3 linked regions of the Oryzias latipes genome follow. The protein of the gene in region 2 interacts with the protein of the main gene of each other region in a pairwise test. Links are inferred from orthologs where the notes say so. Each region holds a gene or a part of one and is shown on either strand. Other genes may lie near its edges.

Region 1 (7,906 bases), on a different chromosome or scaffold from region 2:
GGACAAACCTGCTGAAAAACGTGCATGTAGACCCGGAGAACAATAGCCGATCAGCCTTCAAAGAGGCGTGGAAACAAACTTTTTGTTTTTTGCAGAGCCGCCTTTACTGGAAGGAACCTCAGCAGAGCAGCAGAAGCAGAGGTCAGGTGAGGTCAGGTCAGTAGAATTAAAGCCCGCCTTTAAATGGAAAACTAACAACATTCCTGGAAGACGTCTTCATCCCGACGCGTCTTCCTCAAAGACGATCCGTCTTTGATTAAATTGCAGAGAAGAAAGGCAACAAAAACAACCCATTCCCAGCTGTCGGTTGTCTATATGGGCCATGACTATTGAATTTCATTTCGGCTGAAAGATAGCATGACTGGCTGCTGGGCTGTCTGCTAAATGCAGACCTCATTCAGCCAGACCTTTGAGTAGGGTAAAATTACCCCCACAACAATGATTTCTGCAACACAGTCCATTAAAAATGCCTCTCTACATCAGCAGCCAAAGCATCTTAAAAGCACTAGGCCATATTGATACTGGAGCGGGGCTTTGCATAATGGCAGGCTGCATTAGAGGCACGGGTGGACGGGGCGGGGGGGGGGGGGGGAATTGCAGGATGAGGGAGGGCTGGTGGATCTTTCTGTGTGCATGTGTTTTTAGAGGGGGGGGGGCTGTATAGCCAAACTACTCTTGGTTAATTCAGAGTAACAGATCCGGCCCCAAGTGAATCGAAGGCCACAAATTAATTCGGTTATGACAAATCAAGATAAACGCTTCCTCTGAATTGCACGAGATTTAATTAATTTTCTGAGATCCCACCCCCCCCCCCTCCTTTTTTTGAAGGGGGGGGGACTAATACTTCACATTCTCTTGTGCTGTCATCCTGCTTGAGTGGGCAGACTTCAAAGTGATATTAAATAACCAACTATTAGATTTACCTCACACGTTCTATTGGAAAAGTGCCATTTAATTACCTAGACTTATTCAATTAAGGGGACAGCATTCCCTCTGAATCCAGCAGCCCCCAGGAAAAGAATCCCCCCTGCAGCAGCAGCAGCAGCAGCAGCAGCAGCAGCAGCAGCAGCAGCAGCAGCAGCAGCAGCAGCTATAACATCACCTCCAGCTTCAAACAGCAAAATCATCCACTACCACTATTATTTAAACTGCAAATTTGAGCGGAAGATGAGAGTTCAATGGCTTAAAAAACAGACTGGCCCTTTAAGATGGGGGGGGAGAAAAACAGCCGCAAATGGCCTTCACAATAATCCCTCTTGTCTGTCTGTCTTTCTCTCCTGCACTCTCAAAAGCCAATTTGGTTAATTAAATGTTTTGTTTGCAGTGTGGCTCTCATTCATTTCGGACACGTCATTGGTAGCAGAAACAAGCCAGGGACCAGATCTCATTAGATAAAACCCATCAGGACTGAAGGAAATGGAGGGGGGACTATAATTAAAGCATTTAATTGTGTAGAGTCTCTCTCAGATGTTTTCTCTGCCTCCCTCTCCCAGCCATACTTCAGCGTTTTTATCTCTGCACAGATCTCCTGCCTCCATAATCTGCGCTTTAGCTCTTTCACCAAGCATGCTCTCAATACAAGTGGAAAGGTGTATCCACACTTCCTCCCGCTCCAATTTTAATTACGTTATAGTACCATTATGAATGAAGTACCCCATTGACTTCCCACTGCTTTATATGAGGTGGGAGTAAGAGCGCACGGGCGCACTTTAGATCTGGAATCATCTGTGCAGATCTGCTGGCTGCACATCCAAAAACAACTCAAATGGGCGAGATTTTGTACCTTTAAGCAGAAACATTCCCATTCAGCTGAACTGAATGACAGGAGAGGCCAAAGCAGCTGATGAACACTCTTCCTGCTCCCAATAGGGTTCTTTTTTTAAACTTCAACAAGAGAAATACATCTCTTTTCCTGATTGAATTTACATAAAGTCCTGCACGCCATGAGGAAGACTTGTAATATTAGTGTCTGGGATACATAAGCAAAGGGCATTTTTTTTCTTCATTTCGGTGCAACTTTTTTATTTCAATAAAAGTCAACATAACTTCATTTATAATCCAAATGACCCTCGTCTACAAAGGAGGCAGACAGTTGACATAAAAGGGCTGCATCTGATTGGTCAAAGGGCTCCATTTAATTTGTTAAGCGGCCATAAGATTGTTTATGTGTGAACATTTAAAAAGTAACCATTTATCCCTAATTTAGGCTGCCTGTTGCCATATGCGTATAGGTTGATATTGCGATGAGGATACATTTGTGATGCAGGCCTATCTAAATGTCTCACCTACAGAGTGCGTTTGTGTCCTTGGACAGCCCCACAGAAACGGCCCTAACCCCCCCTTCTCACCTGATGTAATCGTTTCTGCAGAGGATCATGCCGCTTTTCGTGTAGCACGACGTGCCGATTTCGCCCAGCTGGGCCTGGCAGCAGGAGCACTTCAGGCAGCGGCTGTGCCAGTAGGTGTCCATGGTGTAGAGGAGGAAGCGGTCTGCGATTTTGCCCCCGCAGCCCGCACACCGCTTCCAGGACAGGGAACCGGCGCCCACCGCCGGCGGCTGGCTGCTGCCTCCAGGATTCACCATGGTCTCTGAAAAAACAAAACAAAAACAAACATCACGTGTTGATACCAGGTATGCAACATCATCCTAGCAGATAATGGCAGAGTTTTACACCACCTTTGTGGAGATTGTTAACTTTGCAGCTGCAGACTCTGTGACCCCCCAGCAAAGAGAAGGAGCTGATCTCATTACACGAACAAGCCATGTTCTGCTATGAGTCATTTAGTGAATTAATCTGCCCTTGATCTCTGCCTGTGTGGCCCCTGCGCGGGGGCATCGCTGCTGATGAATGTCTGTTAACTGATAACACTGTGGGGCCAAAGGAACAATTCTGCTGCCTCTAAAGTGAAAGCAGTGCCTCTGACTGACTGACTGAGCAGCACAGCCGCTCCTGCTTGTTTACCAACACCTGATGCCCCGCGGGCTTCCACCGACCTGCCCGCCATAACTTCACCGCCAAACGGCCGTTCCCTTCCAGACGTTAATACGTGCTCGGACCCCCCACCCCCATCCACCCTCCTCCACCACCATCACCACCACTCCGGGGCAGCAGCGACGCCGGGATATAAAGCCAAATCTTTGTTGAAAGGCAGGTAGGCCAATTAGGGAAGGAGAAGGCGCGGGGAGGGGGCGCGCGCGCGCACAGACAGAGCAGCATTCAGTAAGCCCATTAGCGATGGCTCTTAGGGACGAACCGCGGCGAACCTCCGCGCTGATTACATCTAAAAGCAGATGAAAAAAAAAAAAAAAACACAACAAAACAAAAAGCCGACCTGAAAGTGACTCCACGCACGAACCGGGCGAGCCATCGTCAAGTTTCCAACAGGCGGGGCAGGAGGAGGAGGAGGGGAGGCTTTTTAGATTAAATGGGTAAGTAATTACACGGTCAGGCAATTTGGGCACAGAGACTAAGACATGGAAATGGAAGGGAGAAAAGGCGAGTGCTAAAGGTCCTGAAAGCTGCTTTTCAACCGGAAAATGTAAAGATTATTGCGGGATAATTACACGGCCATGGGTTCAGTGAAAAAACAAGAGTCTCGGGTATCAAATATCACAGCTATCTTCAAAAGAAAACACGCTTTCAGAGGCAAAGTCTAGACTTTGACACACATATACTCACTTCGTTGGAGTTTAATGGCTGAAGTTCGGGTCTGAAGATTGCGTAGGAGAACGGGTAAGCTCCAGCAGTCCCCAAAAAGTCAAGGAAAAAATGTTTTATTTAAAAAAATAAATAAATAAAAAAGTGCGCCGTCGGTGTCCAGCCCCGCGCGGCAGCGAGCTCGCGACTCGTACAGCGGAGCAAATGGAGTTATCAGATAGTATTTCCAGCGGACGGTTCCTGCTTTTCTGAAAGCGATTTGTGGCCGATGACGGACCCAAAGCTGTCCATCGCAGGATGATTAGGTCTCCGAGACAGTAAAGTTCCCCAAAAGAGCAGAGAAGAGCGGCACAAACCGAGATTATGACGCGAATAACGGAGCACAGGAAATACGACGGTGGATCCGCGGGCAGCTTGTTCTACATGTGTCTCTGACAGGAAGAAACCTCCAGTAAAAAACCCTCTTTAGCCGCGTGACGACAAAGCCCTCTCAGCCAATCCGCTGGCAGCTCATTTAAGAACACCGAATCCAGCCAATCAGAGCAGAGAGAGACTTAGCAAGAGACGCACACAAACAATGTTGTTACACTGGCAAAGACAGGACCCCCCCCCCCCCCCCCAACACTTCTTAAAAACTGAATTTAATGTTTCAATACCCAAAATCTAAAATAGTCAAATTCAGAATCAATTTGAACGTCATTTCTTAATCTCGAAATCACTGCCTGGCTGTGATTAGAGCATCATGGGAAGTCTCTGATTATCTGCATCTCCCTGTAGCATCAGCTCCAAGCTGCATGGCAACATCCAGTAAACTGCATTCACCTCACGTCACAGTTTAATTAGATGACATTCAATAACTACTTAGTTTACTGAGAGTGACTCCAACCTCTGGGAACTGGCGGGACAACAGCTGCGCGGTGGCGCCATCGTCTGCCACCCACAGTAATTGCAGGGAGACTTTCTGCTTTGAAAACCCCATTAAAGTCCACAGGTCATTGATTTCAACACTGAATCTGATTTGTCTGAGGGTTTTCTTTACATGTATTTATCTTAACATTAATATCATGGCAAGCATGAGAGATTAATCATGAACTACATGCGAGAAATGTGTTGCATGTGTCACAAGTTGACATGAAAATATGGCTCTTTTTATTGTATTTTTATTTTAGTTTTTTACTTTAGAAACAAGAAAAATAAAATATAATGCAAAAGAGAAGTTATCTTCAAAGAGATTAACCAGGTTTAAGAGTTTTACATGACAAAAAAAAAGAAAAAAATCCATTTGGATATGATACCCCTGGCTTTGGATGTGTAAAGATGATCTTTTTCTTGACTTTAATTGTTTAATTATTCTCGCAGCTCTGAGGAGATTGCTTTGCATCACACTGATTTCCCTTTTGGCAAAGCCAGCGCTGATCCACCTTGGTTTGAGCCGCATTCTCTTGACACTCTCATCAAGCTTGCCTCTTACCAGAACAAAAACATCCACAGAAGATTGCAAAGAATATCTTTTCCACCAAGGAATGATTAATTGATATAAATGATTAAAACAGAGGGAAATTAGAAAATGAATTTGAAAAGAGGCCTCACAGGAAAAGCTTTGTTTGTTCCAGTCCTCTTTTTAATGAGCTTTTCATAACTGGGCAGGAGAAATTACTTCTTGCAAAAATAATTATTGGAAGTTGGAGTAAGTAGGAGGAGGTGGAGAGGTCAGTGAGAGGAAGAGGAGACGGGCGACGTGGGGGTTCCCTCAGAAATTGATCATCTCCACACTCCGCCGAGATTCCTGAAGTTTCCGAGCAGCTGCATTATGAAAAAAGAAGAAAAGAGGCGAACAACAATATGGCGCAACACAGTTTCAATGTTTAAACAGGAACAAGAGAGCGTCAGATGTGGATCTGAGTGTTAAAACTCCCCACAGGGTAATCTCAACTGACGTGAAAAGAAGACCACGGTCTTTCATAATCAAGCCGCTGGTCCTGTGGGAGTAAGCGGAGCCACACTCAGCTCATTCCCTGACTACAGATTTGCTCTGTTGACTTGACACTGAGCCTCAGAGGCTGTTTTGTCCACACTGCAGGCCACACTCAAGCCAACAACACCCAGGTTAGTTCAGCCATCTGCAGCACCAGAAAAATGGTTGATACCATATTACACAAATCACGTGAATTGATGATACCGTTCAGATTAACCGCAGCTGCTCCCAGATTGAACGGAGAATGGCCGACAGATCATCTCCTAAAGAGGCTGCTTTAAAACACACAAAGTCTCCTATCACTCCAAGCTTTGAGCTTGAATGTGTTTGTGTGGCCATGACCGGATCAAGATGGTTGGTGCATGGATTTTTTCTTTTCTTTTCCAAACAGCCTCCATGTCCTGTAATTGCTGTTCTGACCTTGAAAAATATTTAGAAAAGATGAAACATTTTGCATTGATTCTGGATTTTAAAAGAGGAATCAGGTGTGGATATCTTTCAGTCCACAATAAATCCATAAAATCAAACTTTTTTATTTATTTATTTTTTTGGCGCTCGGGTCAAAGTTATTAGCCTGCCCTTTAAATGAAAAGAAGTCCTCTGAAATTACCATTGCCAAATTGTAATTGTTTATTTAGACATCCCAAGGAAAAAGTCAAGTTAAGTTTAATTAATTTTGCTGAATGGAAAAAAACACAAAAATACCAAGGCTAAAATCATCATCACTCTGATAAGTGGTAGTCAGTATCTTTCACTGAATATCAGCTGACATCAAAGTTTGTGCTACAGCTCCTAAATTCCTTTTTTGTAGCTTTAATCATCTTTCGTTTTCAATGAAAAATTCTTCAGTCTTTAGTGATTTTTCTGACTTAACTTTCAGTTCCATATATAGAATATTTTTTTTTTTAGTCTGGACAAGATTACTACCGGATATCAGGGTTCATTTACAAATCTGTCAGCGTTTTCATAAGAAAACGTATGAAGACAAATCTGCCTTGATTCAATCAAATCCTTGTGAATCAGAAGCAGAGAAAAATTTCCGCTTCATACAGAGCTTATTTGTGATGCAGAAAATACGCTGGATGCTACAAGCTCCCTGCTCTGCTCCATTCTGATGTCTTCACTTGCAGACGAATAGATCCAGGCTTGTCTTTGTTTTCCTCGTCTGAGCTGGAATCTGGATCTAAACTTGTTGGAATTATGTATATAAGGCATCTCATATTTGCTTTTATGCATTACCTAGCTATATAGGTGATATTATCATGTTTGCAGAAGTGTGTGTGTCCAACTTTGTTTCACAGGAAGGTGGAGGTGAAACCCTTAGGGGAAACCGGCTATCTTTGCGTCCTCCCAGCATCTGCCAGAGAACTTGTGTGTTAGCTGTGTCAAGACCGGAATCAAGGGCCTCTCTGTGTCAGTTATCCGTGAGAAAAGGCTTCGCAGGTCCAAAGATGATGTGGGAAGACTGTGAAAGGATGGACATGTTGCAATTAATGTTTAGGATCTCTGTTCTCTCCCCTCGTTAAAACGGTACCTTTGGGCTGTTGGATTTCTTTCCTAATGATGTTGTTCTGATGTTGTAGGTTGTTTTAACCCAACAAAACTGTACGGCTGGGTATCTTCAGTATCGCTCACCATTTTTGTTAACCTGTAATGTTAGGTTGTGGCAGCTGTAAGCTTGCAGGAGAGCATGTAAACAGAGAACTCTCACCAACGGGGAGTGTAAGGGGGGCAGGCTTATACTCCGCGCCACTCGTGCCGCCCACAACTCAGAGGTGAATTTTTAATGAACTACTGCTGCTCTGCAGAAACGGTCAGAGAAAACGACACGAGTTTTGTCTCAATTTGGGCTATAAACGGCGTAATTATGATTAAAAGACCACGGGGAACACTTTTACAATGCGACTGGAGTGGGACTTTGAGATTAAACAGTGTCACCCATAGATAATAATTTACTGCTGCTCCAACTAAATAAAGTCAAGTTGGTCCCCCTTTTTTTATGATACACACTTTTTTCCATGTCGGAAACATAAAATGTTAGCTAGGAGTGATTGATCTGAGTTGATTTGAGTCAGCATTTCCATGGCAACCCCTCTCACCAATCAGGAGTGAGCTTGTCAGAAGGCCACATCCCTACCACTTGAAAGTGGGCAACATGAAATCTTTCAATCAAACTTTTTGAATGCATGCACGTGAGACCACACACTTTTATCGACGCATCTGATTGGTCAGTTTATAACTTGCGCTACAGCAAAAATATGTTCAAAATGAG
Region 2 (7,985 bases):
GCCTGTGACTAATAACGGCTCACAACCGCTAGCTTCTACGTCCACAATATCAATTTACTGTTTTGTTCTTATTTTCTGCATTTGAAAACTTGCTTGCGTACCTTATAAGCGGAAAGGTCCACGTTAAGAGGCTAAATTACGAACAGGCAGATGTTATGGATCGCACAAAGCCTTTCAACGGAAGCCGAAATGACTGAAAATCAATGGTAATCGCTACACTGCCCCCTACGGTTCCTCTTGGTATTACTAATACTGGCTTGATTAAAAAATAATCTCCGCAATTTTTTAAACATTTTATACAGTGAACGTAAAATTGTCGTTAAAATAAGAATGTATATATTTTTTCAACACAGCAATATTTTATAAATTAATTTTAAGTTGGTGTGCAAATCAGTGAACATACATATCCCCAAATAAGAATAATTAAAAAACAAACCTCCACAAATATTTTGTATCAACATATCTATTTTTGGGTACAAAGGACAACAAGAAAGACAACATATAAACAGAAATAATTTATTTACAAATATCACATTAAAAACTACATCTAAAGATACATGAAATGAACTGGTTTATTTTTTTTAAGACAAAAATAAAAGCACCTGAAAACAAAATATCTTTTAAGGTACATTTATTTTGCCATATCTATCAGACTTTGCAAAGATGTTGGCACCCAAGTCTTTTCCCCCTGCACAAACACAACACCTCTGTCTATGTAAATAACAATGCGGCCAAATGTGTAGAGCTGTTTCCCCTCGTGCCGTTTGGCCACTATGGGCATGAAAACAATGTTGTTTTCCTCTGCTTTGGCCTGAATTAGATCCTTAAAGTTAGTTGGCACACCAGAACCGATGCCTCTTTGAGCAACACTTTCTGCATCCCGGCGCTCTTGCAAGGCTTCATACTGGAAGTCTTTCCGTCTCTCCGTCTGTGTGAGATAGGCAATGTTCTCTCTTGCACCAGGCTGCATATATCCACCTGTGAAAAGGAATAACGGACTCAACATAAGTGAAGCAAAGATCTCTCAAACTTTGCTTTTATAGTTTGAATTAAGGTAGATCTTTGGTTTTCATATTTATGAAGTAGACTGTGTGTACACAAACCCATTCCTGATGACACTGCACGGTTCATGATGTCCAAAGCCTCATTAAATTTCTCTTTAATGAGAGGTTGAGTCAACAGAATGTCACTAAACAAGCCTTTCCAGCCGAGATACCACTTTGTGATTTCCTCGTAGTTAGGACTATTGCTCAGCCATGAACACAAAACCTAAAAGCCAAAAATAAAAATAAAAAATACAGCAATTTCAGAGGATTTATTCAACCTATATATTTAAGAAATACGCTTTACGTATTTTACTATTTGTTATGACATTCACATACCTGTAACCATTTTGGGAAAAAGTTCTTGTCAAAAAGGGACACAAGACTGGAGGGAGACAACATTCCCTCCCAGTCCATCACCCAGTGAAACGGCTCCATCTGCTGCTGGTGCGGGTTGATGACCAGCTCTTCCAGACATAAAGCTTTGGCAGGAAAGAGAGATTTTCACATGTGAAATACATATATGTATAAATAAATCTGTGACAGGAAATGAAAAGGTATAGAAGTCAGTGATCCAGTCAGTTTTGCAACGCCTAAAGCTAGTGACTAAAGAAAACCAACCTAGTTTAGGGATGATGTTTTTCACCATGAAGGCCTCCCATGCACCTGCTGTAAAAACGTTCTTCCATGGCTGAAGAATGAGGCGCGCTGAGGCATCACTCGGATGCCAGCGCTGCAGAGCGTTGGCAAGTTTGCTCCTGATAGGTGGGTAGAGAGGCTCCAGGCGCGACTGGAGTAGAGGAAGCCAAGGGTGAATCCAGGAGTGGATGGGCACCGTGTCAGTTAAAGGATTCCAGTTATCTACCTAATAAACAAGAGAAAATGTAGGGAGATTTTGACAGGTGATACACACACTTCAGATGCAAGAAAAAGTAGAACAAAAAAAAAAAAAAAAAAGCATGTAGGATTGTTATAATTTGTGTGCCTTGCCTCGCGCTGCAGGCGGGGTAAGATCAGCTGTTCCAGTAGGTGATCCAGGATCCACTGAGGCAGAAGAGGAGCCCACAACGTCACACAGTCCACCATCGGTCCAACCATACGGGGCTGCCACCCGGACACACACATACGCATCACAGGGATCCACACTTCCCATAAAAGTCTAAGCAAAGAGAGACACATGCAGTTAAAAATCAAAATGTGAACATTTACATGTAAAAGTGAGTATTTTAAACAGACCTGTGGTAAGGATCCATGTTGGAGTCTGGGCCACTGGAACGAAGATCCCTGGATTCAAGGATTGCTCTCCACTGACCAATGTCTTCCAGACAGTATGCACTGTCCTACAACAAAAAACAGTCTTAACTCTAGTATCTTAATTGAGCAACATGTTGAAAATAAGGTGTTTGTTTTCCCCCCCACAGAAATAAAAGCGTAATAATTTAATTAGAATAATTAAAAAAAAAAAACCTTTAGAGGCTCCCATGAGTGAAGTTTCTCCTTAAGTAAAGGATGAACAACTGCCACAGCCAGGTCTGCCAATCCCATCATTTTATACTCTTCATAATAATCTGTTTGTAAAGTCTCAAAGATCTGGGCACACTCCTGGGCACAGAGAGGTGAGAAAATAAACAAATAAGTATGTTCAAAATGATTAAATGTTAGAAGAATGGAGATTAAAAACCATTAGGAACAAATAAACTGCAAGATAAGTACATCTAGTTTGGGTATTTTCATGTGCCACGTACCTGAAGAGTCGGTCCCTCCCCTGGTGGCGTCTCTCCAGAGGGAAAACGCTCCACCAGTGCCAAAACAGCCTCCATTTTCTGGATGGCATCTTGCTCTGCTTCTAGTCTGCTCTGCAACGCACGGGACTCATGACTCAGAGAAACGACCACGTCCTTTTCATGCTGTAGACGTCTGGCCGACTACAAAAGAATAAATAAAGAGAGCAGAAGAAAAAAATTAAATCTGGAAGCCCACTTGAAACGGGTTAATAGTTGAAAATGATTTGAAAGAATTTCAGATTTTCCTCTGACCTGTAAAATGTCCTGTTCTGTGAGGTCGATCAGCAGCTGAAGATTATGCTCAAGCTCAGGGAGAGCGAAGCCGGAACCCTTCTGATCCCGTGTGGACATGGCTGGTGGGGTTTCATCGGGAACACTGTGTTTGTTGGCTATCTGACTGTAACTGTAGTAAACCTTTGGCTCTCTTACAGTCATATCTATAACCTAAATTTGAAGAGAGATAAAAACAATTAATAAAAAGAAAACTTGAATCATTTTACTTCCATGGCCATAAAAATCTTTCAATTTATTTCAGTTTTATGCTGAAAGGAGGAAATGTAAAAAAAAAAAAAAAAACAAGTAGATGCTTGTGAAGCTCTTTAAAATATTAAAGTTTGTGGTTTTTTTCATTGTTCTGACCCGAAATTAAAAGGACATAACGCAGGATTTTAACGCACCTTAACCTGCGCCAACTCTCCTGCAGATGCTGCCATGTTCCGAGAAACCATTTTGCCTTTAGCCCTCAGCTCATCTGCAGTTCTGTATGAGTATTTTGGTTTCTTCTTGACTGCGGAGCCCGCAGGATCCTTTCGCCACTGACCCAATTCTTTTTGAAACTCCTACAACAACACACATTACAGGAGAAAAACAAGAAGATAATTTCACAGTTAGCCCTCAATTCTTCAGATACACAATCACTGTGAAAACAAGATTATATGGAGTAAAGAACTGCTCGTGGCAAAATCTCACCTTTTCCTCCTCTTCTTCAGAGTCAACCACAGGGAAGTCCTGCAGACTCTGCTGGGTTCTCTCATTGCCATATGCACCTACAGCTCCTTTACCTTTACGGACCTTTGCCTCAATAGGGTTTACAATACCTACATAAACAAAACAGAGGCATGGCAATAAAATCTCTATTATTTTCCCTCTGAAATGCATGCAAAAGCACAATCGTGTACAGTACTTTTCCTCCTTTACGCTGCCTACCTTGAGCATTTTTTCCAAGCCCCTTTCCAGGCTGGTAACCCATTTTCTGCAGAAGCTTCTGTCCAATTCCTTTTGTGTGCTTCTCCCAGGTTCCAATACCCTGTCCAGATTGTATTCCACCAGCAAACCTCTGGGACTGATTCCCACGAAAATTACTCTGACAAAACAAAGAAATTATAGACGTCAGTTTAAAAAGAAAGCTTTTTTAGATAAAATATGTTCTTAAGCGAAACTTTACCATCTGAAGTTTTCTAGGTGCAATTCCACGAGTAGGAGGGGGAACTGCAGGGGCATCCTCTTCCGAATCATCAGAACCTTCTTCTTTGTCTTGCTGTTTCTCCTCGGCTGCAGTTTTACGTAGACCGGCACTAACAAAATTCACTGGGGTGCTGTAATCTTTCGACCTAAAGAAAATGTACACTGTTAACATCCTCTGCAAAAATTTTCACATTTAGACATCAGAGCATCAAACCTGTGAATTACCTCTTGCCACCAAAGCTGGGTCTCTCATCTTCATCTGAATCTTTGTCAGCCCAGATCCCATAAGTGGCCTGCTCCTTGGTCTGCCTAAACCTGCGGCGTTCTGGGTTAAACTCATTGGCCAGATCCCAGTCTGTCACCTCGAAGCTTTCGATCTCCACACCTTCTTCCTCTTCTTCCCTCCGCCCGTAAAGATGGGACATCGACATTTCTAGATAGAGACCCAATACAAAAAAAAATCATAAAAGCCATACAATTGAAAAACATTCAAGTTGCTTAAAAAATCGTACAACAGCATGAAACCACAGTCAGCAATGATTGCTAACGCTAGCTAAGCACGAAGCTAGCCACAAAACTGTTTCGGTCACAAACAATTATCAACATAAATATCAACTGTATTGCACATTTGTATGATTGAAAGCGTAAAAATACATTAAGAAGTTTCAAGCAAAAAGGTATTAACTAACAGAACTCAGATATTAATAATGCAAATGATGAGATTTTTTAGCGAAATCTAGCTAACGATAGTTGGGACATTAAATCCCATTACGACTGCAGAAACATTTCGAACTTGGAAAGTAGAAAGGCACTTAATACAAACAAAGCTTACTTGACAAGAAATAGTTTATACACTTAGAGATTAATTAAAACTCATTCTTGGCTGTCTGTAGCAAGAAGAGGTTATCTGTGTAGCTTTTCGTTCAACGCACGAACGTGGAAATACTTCCGGGTAAAGTCTGTCCGTCAGTACTGACGAATAAATGTTGTGACCTTAAAACTTTGAGATTTTACTTATTTTTATTTGTTTGCATTTACTAAAGATTTGTGTTGGTTTTTATATAAATTTCTCTAAGTTAAAACAGCAACACCACACATTTAGGTTAATAAATTATGTGATAAAAGCTTTTATTTTGGCGTTACACCGGAAGACAAATGTGTTACACTTAAAACCGTCCTACGCGCTGCTGATTTTGTGGCGGAGGTGATTAGGGTGTTTGTTTTTTAATTATTATCACTGTTTTTTTTTCACCCCTAACATTTTATTATAGATCGTTGAATGATGGGAATGAGATAAAAAAAATGTCTGAAAGTGAGTGGCAGGTCGCTCGGCGTCGAAAAGGGCAAACAAGGAAGTTTAAATCTCATGTGCCTTTAAGTTCCACCAGCGTCCAAGAAGACCAGCTTGATGTCGAGAAAGTTGTCAGACGGATCAGGACCACTGTGTAAGAAATAAAATAAAAAAAACGGAAAACCACTCATAAACATAGTTCATTGTGCCTTATCGAGGGGAAAACTAATTCTGATATCTCATTCTTTACTCTCTGTCTCATAGGACTGAGTTGAGATGCGAAGAGTTTTGGCACAAATGGAAAGGTAAGTAAAACATAACCAAATTTTTTAGACATGTTTTTTTTATTTAGTGTGTAATTGAATTGTAACTCTTATGTTCCTCGTCCTCAGATGAGCTGCTGATGGCATCCACAGCATCAGCATCTGCAGAGAAGGACGTCACTGAGGAGCATCTGAAGAACACAGGTGATCAGCTGGAGTGTGTGTGTTATGGCCTTGGCTCCTTTTCTTCTTGCACTGCAGCCCGGTATCAGCTTGCCATGCTGCTTCTGCTGCTGGAAGTATTACAGGTCAGAAGAGAGCATTAGACTATGTTCTAACAAACATGTGTTATGTTTGTTTTGAGTTGCTCATTTAGTTTTTTTTCTCCTAAAGGTTTCCTTAAGGGATTGCTTGGTTTATGATCCCATATTCTCCTCTGGAGAGCAGGATGTCTTGAGGGAGCTGGGAATGACTGTACTCACAGAAAACGAGGTCATGTCAATTGTTTTTCTTTTTGCACTTCTAGAGAACAAACTGCTGATGTTATCACCGTAACTGAGATCTAAACAGACTAAAGTATCCGCTGTTTTATTTAGGAGGGGAAGCGTCTGGTGACCAAGCCCACTCTTTTTTATCTCATGCACTGTGGGAAGGCTCTGTACAACAACCTACTGTGGAAAAACTGGAGCTTACGGGGATTATACCAGCTTGTAATCATTGGAAACAGCTTCAATGGTATGAGGGAAAGGTTCGTAGAAAACACTGATGATGGAGCGCATCGTTTTTAGCAAACAGAGATGAAATAATGTCCTCTGTCTGTTGCAGAACGGTGGAAAGAGTGTTCAAACAGGAATACAGCTACATCAGTAAAGCTGTGGACCTCTGTGAGGAAAAAATGCTGCCTTGTCCTTCTCACATGATAGATGTCTTCAGTGATACGGCAGTCATTGCTTTTCCTCCCCACATCTTACACAAAGTGCCACAGACTAACTGGGCTGAGTCACCTGAACCTGAATACAGAGACCGCCAGGATTTGGAGATAATCCTGAAGGAAACTCAGAGCTGACTGGACTTCATTGAAATAAAATTTTGATATAAATTTTCAAACATGTAGGAAACTATTATGTTCAGATTTTTCACAAAACGAAAGTGGAACATTACAAATCAAGCCAATTAGTTAAAGATGGTTTTCTTCATGTATATGGCGTTATAGTACTTTCCATTTTTTTAGAACTTTATCCCCTTTCGCAACACTTCTAGCAACTTTTAAATTCATTTATTTAATGAAGCATCTCAAGTACAAAGCTTGGTTCCAAAAACACATTTTTATTCAAATAGTTTTGAAAATGGAAGTGTACTTCAAACTTAGGGAAAATGAAAAATGTAACCTCAAATACCAGCTTTGTTGCACAAGACTTGCATTATTAGCACCCCATACACTATCAACATATGTCTGTAAGTAATTTAATTAGAACCGATTAAAAACTCACCAAGAATTTATTTTGAACAAATTATTAAAACTTGGGAATACTTTTTCACAGCACAACACTCGACAGGATCAAGAAAGTTGAGACATCAAATCACAAAGAAGGTTTGAACAAATGCAACAACAAAAGAACAACGTTGTTTTCAGACAAAAGATTTAAAGAAAAAACAAGAATTTCAGTTTTTCTGTATGGAGCACAAGCATTGTTGAATAAAAAAAATGTTTTAAAAAATTGCTGGGCTAGTGTTAAAGTCAGAATGTATCCAAAAACATCAGCCGTTTAGTCACATTACAGCTGATCACCTCCTGTAATAACTATGGTGCATTTACAGACAGAAAGTTTTTTATGAATAAAGTAACACTCGTCCTGCTTTAAATCACATTACAGCTTAAATCTTCGGTTCGCCTTACAGCAGTGACTTTTAAACTCTCCCAAACCCAGTATTCTTTATGCCTTCACTCTTTAGCCGCTCCACTGACAGCGACACTGTCTGCTCCGTTTACCGTTTTACTTCCTGTTCCATTGACTGCTTTTGAACCAACGATATCTGCCCATGTCAGTTTACTCTTAAGGCTGGATGGGCTGACAGGGCTGTCCACAGCTCCATTCATTGCACCATGTTCCTCATCATTTTTCTCTTTCTTGGCATCAAC
Region 3 (7,953 bases), on a different chromosome or scaffold from region 2:
GGCTTCAGTGGCTCTTCTTGGACGAGCCAAACCCCGAGAAGCCCATCACTGCTGCCATCTCATCATCGTCCTCCAGGTCCAAGTCCTCCTCAGCACGCCGCTTCCTCTCTTTCTGCTTCTCTTTCCTGTAGGCCTTCGCCTTCTCCTCCTGAGGAGACCAGGAACCAGTTTTTATTCATGACTTCACCAGATTATAAAACACTGAAGACACTGAAAGAAAAGAATGAAAGTAGGAGCGCTGGAAAAAGCAGAAGAATCAACAGAGCAGCCTTTTCCAAATTTCACAGGACTCTGGGAGCTGACCAGCAGGGGGCGCTCACCTCTTCCCGCAGCTCCTTCATGCGCTCCTCAAAGTCGTACTCCTTCTGCTTCTCCTCCATCTTCTTCCTGTTCACCTCAAAGCGTTTCTTCACCTGATCCAGAGACGAGCGCTCCACCCGCATGGACATGCCCAGGTTCCTCTGATCTGAACACACACACACATTTATCAACACACATTCATGGACATACAGTCAGGTCCATAAACAACAGGACAGCGACACAATTCCAACATGTTTGACTCTATATGCCACCAAAATGGATTTGAAATGAAACTAACAAGATGTGCTTTAACTGCAGACTGTCAGCTTTAATTTGTGGGTATTTCCATCCAGATCAGGTGAACTGTGTAGGAATTACAACAGTTTGCATCTGTGCCTCCCACTTGTTAAGGAACCAAAAGCAATGGGCCAATCGGCTTCTCAGCTGTTCCAGGGACAGGTGTGTGTTATTCCCTCACTATCCCAACTACAAAGAGCAGATAAAAGGTCCAGAGCTTTTGAAGTGTGCTGTATGCATTTGCAATCTGTTGCCGTCAACTCTCAAGATGAGATCCAAAGAGTTGTTATTATCAGTGAAGAAGCAGTCATTAGGCTGAAAAAACAAAAATAACCATCAGAGAGATAGTAAAAATATGAGGCGTGGCCACAACGACTGTTTGGAACATTCTTAAAAAGAAGGAACGCACTGGGGAGCTCAGCATGCCAAACAGCCCGGAAGACCACAGAAAACATGTGTGGTGGATGACCGAAGAATTGTGTTCCTGGTGAAGAGAACTCCCTTCACAACAGTCGGCCAGATCAAGAACACTCTCCAGGAGGTAAGGTGTGCATGTGTGTAGAAGTCGACAATCAAGAGAAGACTTCACCAGAGTGAGTTCAGAGGGTTTACCACAAGATGTAAACCATTAGTGAGCCTCAAAAACAGGAGGGCCAGATTAGAGTTTGCCAAACGACATCTAAAACAGTCTTCACAGCTCTGGAAAAACGTCCTATGGACAGATGAGACTAAGATCAACCTCTACCAGAGTATGGAGAAGGAAAGGAACTGCTCATGATCCTAAGCATACCACCTCATCAGTGAAGCATGGTGGTGGTATTGTCATGGCGTGGGCATGTATGCCTGCTAATGGAACTGTTCTCTTCTATCTATTGATGATGTGAACGCTGACAAAAGCAGTAGGATGAATTCTGAAGGCTTTTGGGCTCATGATCAGCCAAATGCTTCAGTGGACGGCGCTTCACAGTGCAGATGGACCATGACCCAAAGCAAACTGCAACCGCAACTAAAGGCCTTCTTAAGGGAAAGAAGTGGAATGTTATGCAATGTTTCACTTGCTGAAGACAAAACTGAAGGTAAAATGCCCCAACAACAAGCAGGAACTGAAGACCGATGCATTGGAGGCCTGGCAGAGCATCACCAGGGATGAAACCCAGCGTCTGGAGATGTCTGTGAGTTCCAGACTTCATGCTGGAATTGACTGCAAAGGATTTGCAACCAAGTATTAAAAAGTAAATGTCTGATTTATGATTATTGTTCTGACCATTACTTTTGGTTCCTTAACAAGTGGGAGGCACAGATGCAAACTGTTGTAATTCCTACACAGTTCACCTGATCTGGATGGAAATACCCACAAATTAAAGCTGACAGTCTGCAGTTAAAGCACATCTTGTTCGTTTTATTTCAAATCCATTTTGGTGGCATATAGAGTCAAACATGTTGGAATTGTGTCGCTGTCCCATTATTTATGGACCTGACTGTATAAAATGATCCACGTTACATCTGCGCTCTTGGCCCCTCCCTAAAGCACAGGTGTACTTACGTTTCTTGCCGTTGATGTGATCCAGAAAGTTGATGGAGTCTTTGACCACACAGTCACAAACATTGCAGTAATATCTGAAAAAAAAAATATGTCGGAACCAGAACCCAGACCTGTCCGTTTCTGCTCCACAACTTTTTCTTATTGGTTCAAAGAGTTTCAGTTTTCCATTTTTCCAAACCCAAAGCCGTCAGGAACTCACCCGCCCATCTCCGCCTGAGGGGTGGTCTTGGTGATGACAATAGTTTTCCCCAGTTTGGACTCCAGATCCACTTTGTAGTCTCTGTGCCGCAGGAGCTCCCGCTTGACGGGAGGGACAGGTTTTCCTGAAAGAGCCAACAGGTCATGCGTCAGGGGTGATAAGCGATTGACCCCCAAGGGTCCCCAAAGAACGGAGAGCGCTGCCCTCACCATCCCTGAGCTCCCGCTCGCGCTCCTCGTTCAGCCGCTTCTGAGCGAGATTCTCGTACTCGTCCTTGTCCCATTTCCGCCGGAAGTCGTTCTTGCTGGACTGGAAGACACGAGAAGATGACTCAGAGCGCCTCGATTATCTTCACATCTCAACAAACATTCAGCTGATGAAGACGAGGAGCTTTTACTCCTCCTGACAAAAGAGCAACAGCTTCTCAACTCAACTTCATTGATAAAACTCTAAAACAGAACCACAGAGACACAACAACAGAGAAGGAACAAAAGCAGGAAAGCCTCATGCTTCGTCAGAAGAATGTTTAAATGCAGACGGTGAAGATGCCTGTTGGACTGTCAGAGCTGACGCCTTGTGCACCTTCCAAGCTCAAACAGGAGGAGCTGGCTCTTCCCAGAGGTTCCTCCTGGATCTCTGTCCCTCCAGGGAAAGATATGAGCTTAACCGAGATTCCAAAAGCTCAGAGAGGTATGGATGAACGCACAAATCATGGGGAACGTGTGACCCATGATTTATGCGTGAGCCATGCTGCTGCTCGTATTTAATGGTGTTTGGGAAAAGGGCTGTTCCTACTCCGTGACCCGAGATAAGGGGAGGGCTCAGGCCGAACATCCAGCTGACGGGAAGCATCCATGTTGGATAAACAGATGAGTCCAAAGAGATCCTTCATAATGAACATTAGATTTTTCAGAAATCTCCGTTCAACAGCCTGATCCTGGCTGCAGCTGCAGCCTGAAACTGATCAGCTCTCCAAATGCATGGTGCCGTCAGGCTCCAGGGGGATACGCCTGCTGGTGGAGCTGTGCTTACAGGACAGGAAACCCTAAGTCACTCTAGACCAGTGTTTTTCAACCTTTTTTGAGCCACGGCACACTTTAACCCTGAAAAAGATCCCGCGGCACACCAGCATCCAAAAAAAAAAAAAAAAAGCAGAAATTCATGGTCTGTATTGATCGACAGCTCTTCCCTTTCATTCATATTATCAAAGTAAACATTTTCAACAGGGGTGGGTTTATAAATTTTATAATATAGCAACAGAAACATTGTTTCATATTTGCAAAAACCAAAAAGGACATTATCCTTATTATTACAGTTTCATTTATTATCATCACAGTCGGCTTTACGAAATAAACTTCAAGAGCTTTTATTTTGCCACACCGGAATTCGTTACACCTTTGAATTAGTCCTTTAAAGATAAAAACTAACGGCGGTTGAGTCAAAACGTTTTTGGTACTAATTTTTTTTTTTTTTAAAAAGGGCCGTAAAATTCTGCAAATAAAGTACCCAAGCGTCAGAGCGAGTTAGCCGCTGCTAGTCCGAGGCCGCGCTTCTAACGGCAGCAGCTGATGTCTGTAACGGTTACAGTCAAAACGCCTCCACGGTACCAAATATAAAGTGAAGAATTTTAATCTTGTTTATTGAATTAAACTGTATTACAACAAACAGGGGCAGAGAAATTCTGCTTGGAAACTCACCCCACTGCCGGACGCCATCTTGTTTACCTACGGAAAATACGTCACCGGATGTTGCAGCTCGTCATTGCTAGTTTCCTGTCTAAATTTAGTTCTATCGGTAGAGGAGACATCACGTGATTCCTCAAGGGGGGAGAGCATCGCCATCTTGGTGAGGTCAAATTACTGCTGTAGTGCATGCATGTGAACACATTTCTTGCAAAATACCAGTTCATTTTTCGGGTTTCAACTGCCAAAATCAGAGAAATGAGTCCACGAAGGAGGAAGGCATAACATTTCACAGGTAAGTATTATATATTTTTTTCTTTTAATGCTGCAGGGGCATCATTAATCATACACATGTTTTCATGCATGATGCTGCAGGGCGATTATCAACATGTAGGCATGATGTACGTATAATTTGCTGTCGATATAAATGTAAACTTTATTGTGTTAAACCTGTATACATTATACTAGGCTATTATAGTAATAGAGATTTATACATTTCTGACTCAGTGACTGAAATTTTATTGCAGGTTTCCAATGGATTCAGACTTAAGGAAAAAGTGGGCCTTAGCAATAAAAAGAGCTAACCCAGATGGATCACTGTGGTACCAACTAGTAATACAGTCTGGCTATGTTCAAAACAATTTGAGGAAACAGATTTTGATGAGACTGGCCAGACTGTTAGCTTGAAACCCGACACTAAACCAACTGTGTCACACAAATTTATCACTAACATGAATCAGGAGGTAAATCTATTTCTTTTCTTTGTTTTTTTAAAGGGGAAAATCTGTTGTTGACTTTTGGACTTTTTGTTGACTTATTATTGATTTATTATTATCATTTATTATTATTTACCTATTATTGATTTATTTTTATCATTCAATATTATTATTGACTTACTATTGATTTATTATTATTATTATTTATTGATTCATTATTATTATTATTATTATTATTATTATTATTATTATTATTATTATTATTATTATTATTATTATTGACTTATTTATATATTGTTATTAATTATTATTATTATTGACTTATTATTTATATTTGTTATTTATTATTATTATTGACTTATTATTTATATATTGTTATTATTTATTATTATTATTGACTTATTGTTGGGCTTTTCTAAATAATTTCAATTACATGTCAAAGAGGTCTAAAACTTGGAAATGTTTAAAAATTAAAAACAATGCATTTTTCATTAAAGTTTGAACTTTTAAAGCTGACTGTTTCTCTTATTTAAAAGCATCAAATGATGTATATATATAAAAATTATATACATTTATCATGTGTTTATTTATATGTATAAATATATAGAAATTTGAATAAATATAAATTATATAAAAGCTACTTAGATGCTACCAAAGGCTAAAGAAATCATTGTCATGTAGGCGTCGTTGACCTCACCAAGATGGCGTTGCGTTCCGCCACCGTCGGCCAGGCTTCCCAAGCGGGCGTGTCTCCTCTAGCGATATAACTCATTGAGTTCAGACAATTCACTGGCTATGTCCGAATTCCCACCCTAATCCCTAACTACTAATAAAACTATAAGTGTGGGACTATCCAATGTCCCGGATTTTAAAAGCAATTAGGACACCTTGCTGACTTCATTATTTTAAAACTGCGAATATGACATCACTGATTTCCCAAAGTTAAAATCTAATCAATATGAGCAATGCATGAAGACTATTTATGAATCCACTGTGCTCTGATGATGAAATCATTGAGTGTTCATACAAAACAATAAAATACATTTTTGCTCTCAAAAATTGTTCAATTGCATTGTGGTCTACACACGCCAATCTAGTAGCGAGCATCAATACACACTAATCTTTCGCAAATAATTTCTAAACCACTTGATTTTGAAATTTGAACAGCTTTACAAAATGGTGAACGCACTAGGTGCACTCTGTGCGTAGTGATTCCACAACCACTCTGTGGAATTAGTACAATTTGACTTCTCAATCTGACTGCACAATCTACTTCCAAGTGTACTTTTAAAGGGCTTATATCATGCAAAAGCAACTCTGTGATCTTTTAACTAAGGGTTAATGGCCGACGAAGTGTGCATTAGCACTTTTTAACACACGCCGTGAAGCCTGAACCATCCGACGCGAAGCGCTTATCAAAATAAAGCAAGAGGATTGCTTTTATCACAAAAAGCGGACTATTTGTTACATGGTGCGGCGACTGCATCGCTTTTTACCGCACACCCAGCAGCCAATCAGAATCGGGTATTCACCCGGACGATGGTATAATTGTATTATAACGTTCATCATTCATAATGAACAACCCCAAAGGAATATTTGGATCCATTTACCCGTTTCTGGGTGTTCCTTTAAAAACCTGCTCTCTGAGCACCAGCCCCTCCAAACCCACAAAAACAAGAGAGTTCTCCCATTGTGATGTCACAAAGTGAGGAACAGCCCCTTCCAGGAAGAGTCTGTGCTGCCAGCACCTCCCCCAGCCAGACTAGCACAAACTCCACTCTCTCCGTGGAGCTAGCGGTGATCGGCTAAATGCGTTTATTTTGTATGCACAATTTGCACATCCATCTTTGCAAATATTTGGATGTTTGTTTTCGTGGGTGAAACACAGACATGCTGCTGAGGCCTGGAATCGTTTTTTTTTTTTTTTTTGGTGATCCATCTCTGCCAGAGGATCTGGAGCCAATTTTTCCAATACTTTATAAATTAATTTCAAGTTAGTGTAACAAGGGTTACACTTGGTAGAAGACATGTGTGGACAGGTTTCTCGTTTTCCGCTCAACAGGATACTGCGACCCCATGTGTTTGAGCAGGGAACTGCATGTAAGCGACTTTTCTTCATTTTTTGTTTGATATGTACAGATCCTGCTGCAGTCATCAATAAAAAGGGCAGCGTTCAGCAGATGTTTGGGTCCAGACTCTCTTCATTTGTCCAGCAGAACAAGAACACAACGCAGATTACTTTGGGTAAACGGATGCGCAACCCGAACTAAATTGCAACCAGGCAGATCCGCGCCCGTTACGTGTGGGAAGACTGACCTCATTTAAATTCTACAGTTTTTGAAATTACACAGTGACAATGCAAGCCTTAAAACTTGATCAGAGAGAGAACACATCTGGGAACTTTAAATTCAAACTTTATTTGTATAACGCCTGTCATTTTATTTGAAAGCAAAAGCGCTTGACATAAAAGCAAATAAAATAGTCATAAAATATAAAAATGAATTAAAATAGAAAACTTAGGAGAATCACACACCGATGGGACCCCTCCCTCACCAGTTTCCTCCCTCCATCCACCCAGTTCCCCCAATATAACCCTGAACAAAAACTGCAGGTTAAAGAAAAAGTCTGGTGTGGTTCTGCTGTGCAGAAATGACATAATAGTAATCCATATGTTGCAAGGCCCAACCTGACCACGAGGGTCATTGCCACAGCATTTAGACCACAGAGCGAGACCCCAGCCGACCCTATGAAAACGAGCACCGCAGCAACAGCACCCCCTAGAGGCGGAGCCGGTAGTTCTCCAATTCAATTCAATTTTATTTGTACAGCCCAAATTTACGATGGGCTTAAAATGGATCCCCAAGAGGAAACACCTGATTATGAAACATCAGAATATAAATTACAATAAAATAACAATACTAAAAATAAGATATAACAATAATAGCAATTAAAATACAAAAAGTAAAATTAACTTTAAATATCATGAATATAATGAAAATTAAAAAAGGTATTAAAAAACTAATAATAATAGTCCTCATATAATGTTAAAAAATGTATTAAGTAATGAAAATAGATAAATTAATAACTCCATTAATAAATAAAAGAATCAAATAATCAGGCAACTACCAAAGTCATGTTAAAGCCAAATTAAAAAGATGGGTCTTGAGTTTCTATTTCAGTTTAAATACGTGGGGCCAACAACCAAATCCAGCCTTG

Evidence for each region.
Region 1: the proteins of tfip11 (region 2) and lmo4 interact in binary tests that used the Homo sapiens proteins (3 or more experiments, as listed by UniProt). The two-hybrid records come from large-scale screens. The link is inferred for Oryzias latipes from reciprocal best matches to the Homo sapiens genes TFIP11 and LMO4.
Region 3: the proteins of tfip11 (region 2) and zmat2 interact in binary tests that used the Homo sapiens proteins (3 or more experiments, as listed by UniProt). The two-hybrid records come from large-scale screens. The link is inferred for Oryzias latipes from reciprocal best matches to the Homo sapiens genes TFIP11 and ZMAT2.

The regions. Positions count from the first base shown.
Region 1 is NC_019862.2:4,583,177-4,591,082, reverse strand, and holds the start of lmo4 (LIM domain transcription factor LMO4), read right to left. Parts: upstream 4,126-7,906; 5' UTR 3,681-4,125; intron 2,713-3,680; 5' UTR 2,678-2,712; intron 2,590-2,677; 5' UTR 2,585-2,589; coding exon 2,349-2,584; intron 1-2,348. UniProt on the Homo sapiens protein: Transcription cofactor. Plays a role in establishing motor neuron identity, in concert with MNX1, acting, at least in part, to disrupt LDB1-LHX3 complexes thereby negatively modulating interneuron genes in motor neurons.
Region 2 is NC_019867.2:13,547,294-13,555,278, reverse strand, and holds tfip11 (tuftelin-interacting protein 11), read right to left. Parts: upstream 5,253-7,985; 5' UTR 5,124-5,252; intron 4,725-5,123; 5' UTR 4,723-4,724; coding exon 4,517-4,722; intron 4,438-4,516; coding exon 4,272-4,437; intron 4,191-4,271; coding exon 4,034-4,190; intron 3,925-4,033; coding exon 3,797-3,924; intron 3,667-3,796; coding exon 3,505-3,666; intron 3,272-3,504; coding exon 3,080-3,271; intron 2,969-3,079; coding exon 2,789-2,968; intron 2,646-2,788; coding exon 2,511-2,645; intron 2,384-2,510; coding exon 2,280-2,383; intron 2,203-2,279; coding exon 2,034-2,202; intron 1,909-2,033; coding exon 1,665-1,908; intron 1,526-1,664; coding exon 1,383-1,525; intron 1,270-1,382; coding exon 1,104-1,269; intron 979-1,103; coding exon 632-978; 3' UTR 501-631; downstream 1-500. Other genes in the region: srrd (SRR1-like protein), read left to right, coding at 5,594-5,736, 5,847-5,887, 5,975-6,153, 6,239-6,337, 6,442-6,593, 6,671-6,911; clustered mitochondria protein homolog, read right to left, coding at 7,788-7,985. UniProt on the Homo sapiens protein: Involved in pre-mRNA splicing, specifically in spliceosome disassembly during late-stage splicing events. Intron turnover seems to proceed through reactions in two lariat-intron associated complexes termed Intron Large (IL) and Intron Small (IS).
Region 3 is NC_019872.2:3,286,733-3,294,685, forward strand, and holds the start of zmat2 (zinc finger matrin-type protein 2), read right to left. Parts: upstream 4,126-7,953; 5' UTR 4,055-4,125; coding exon 4,037-4,054; intron 2,649-4,036; coding exon 2,549-2,648; intron 2,464-2,548; coding exon 2,340-2,463; intron 2,215-2,339; coding exon 2,141-2,214; intron 467-2,140; coding exon 321-466; intron 149-320; coding exon 5-148; 3' UTR 1-4. UniProt on the Homo sapiens protein: Involved in pre-mRNA splicing as a component of the spliceosome.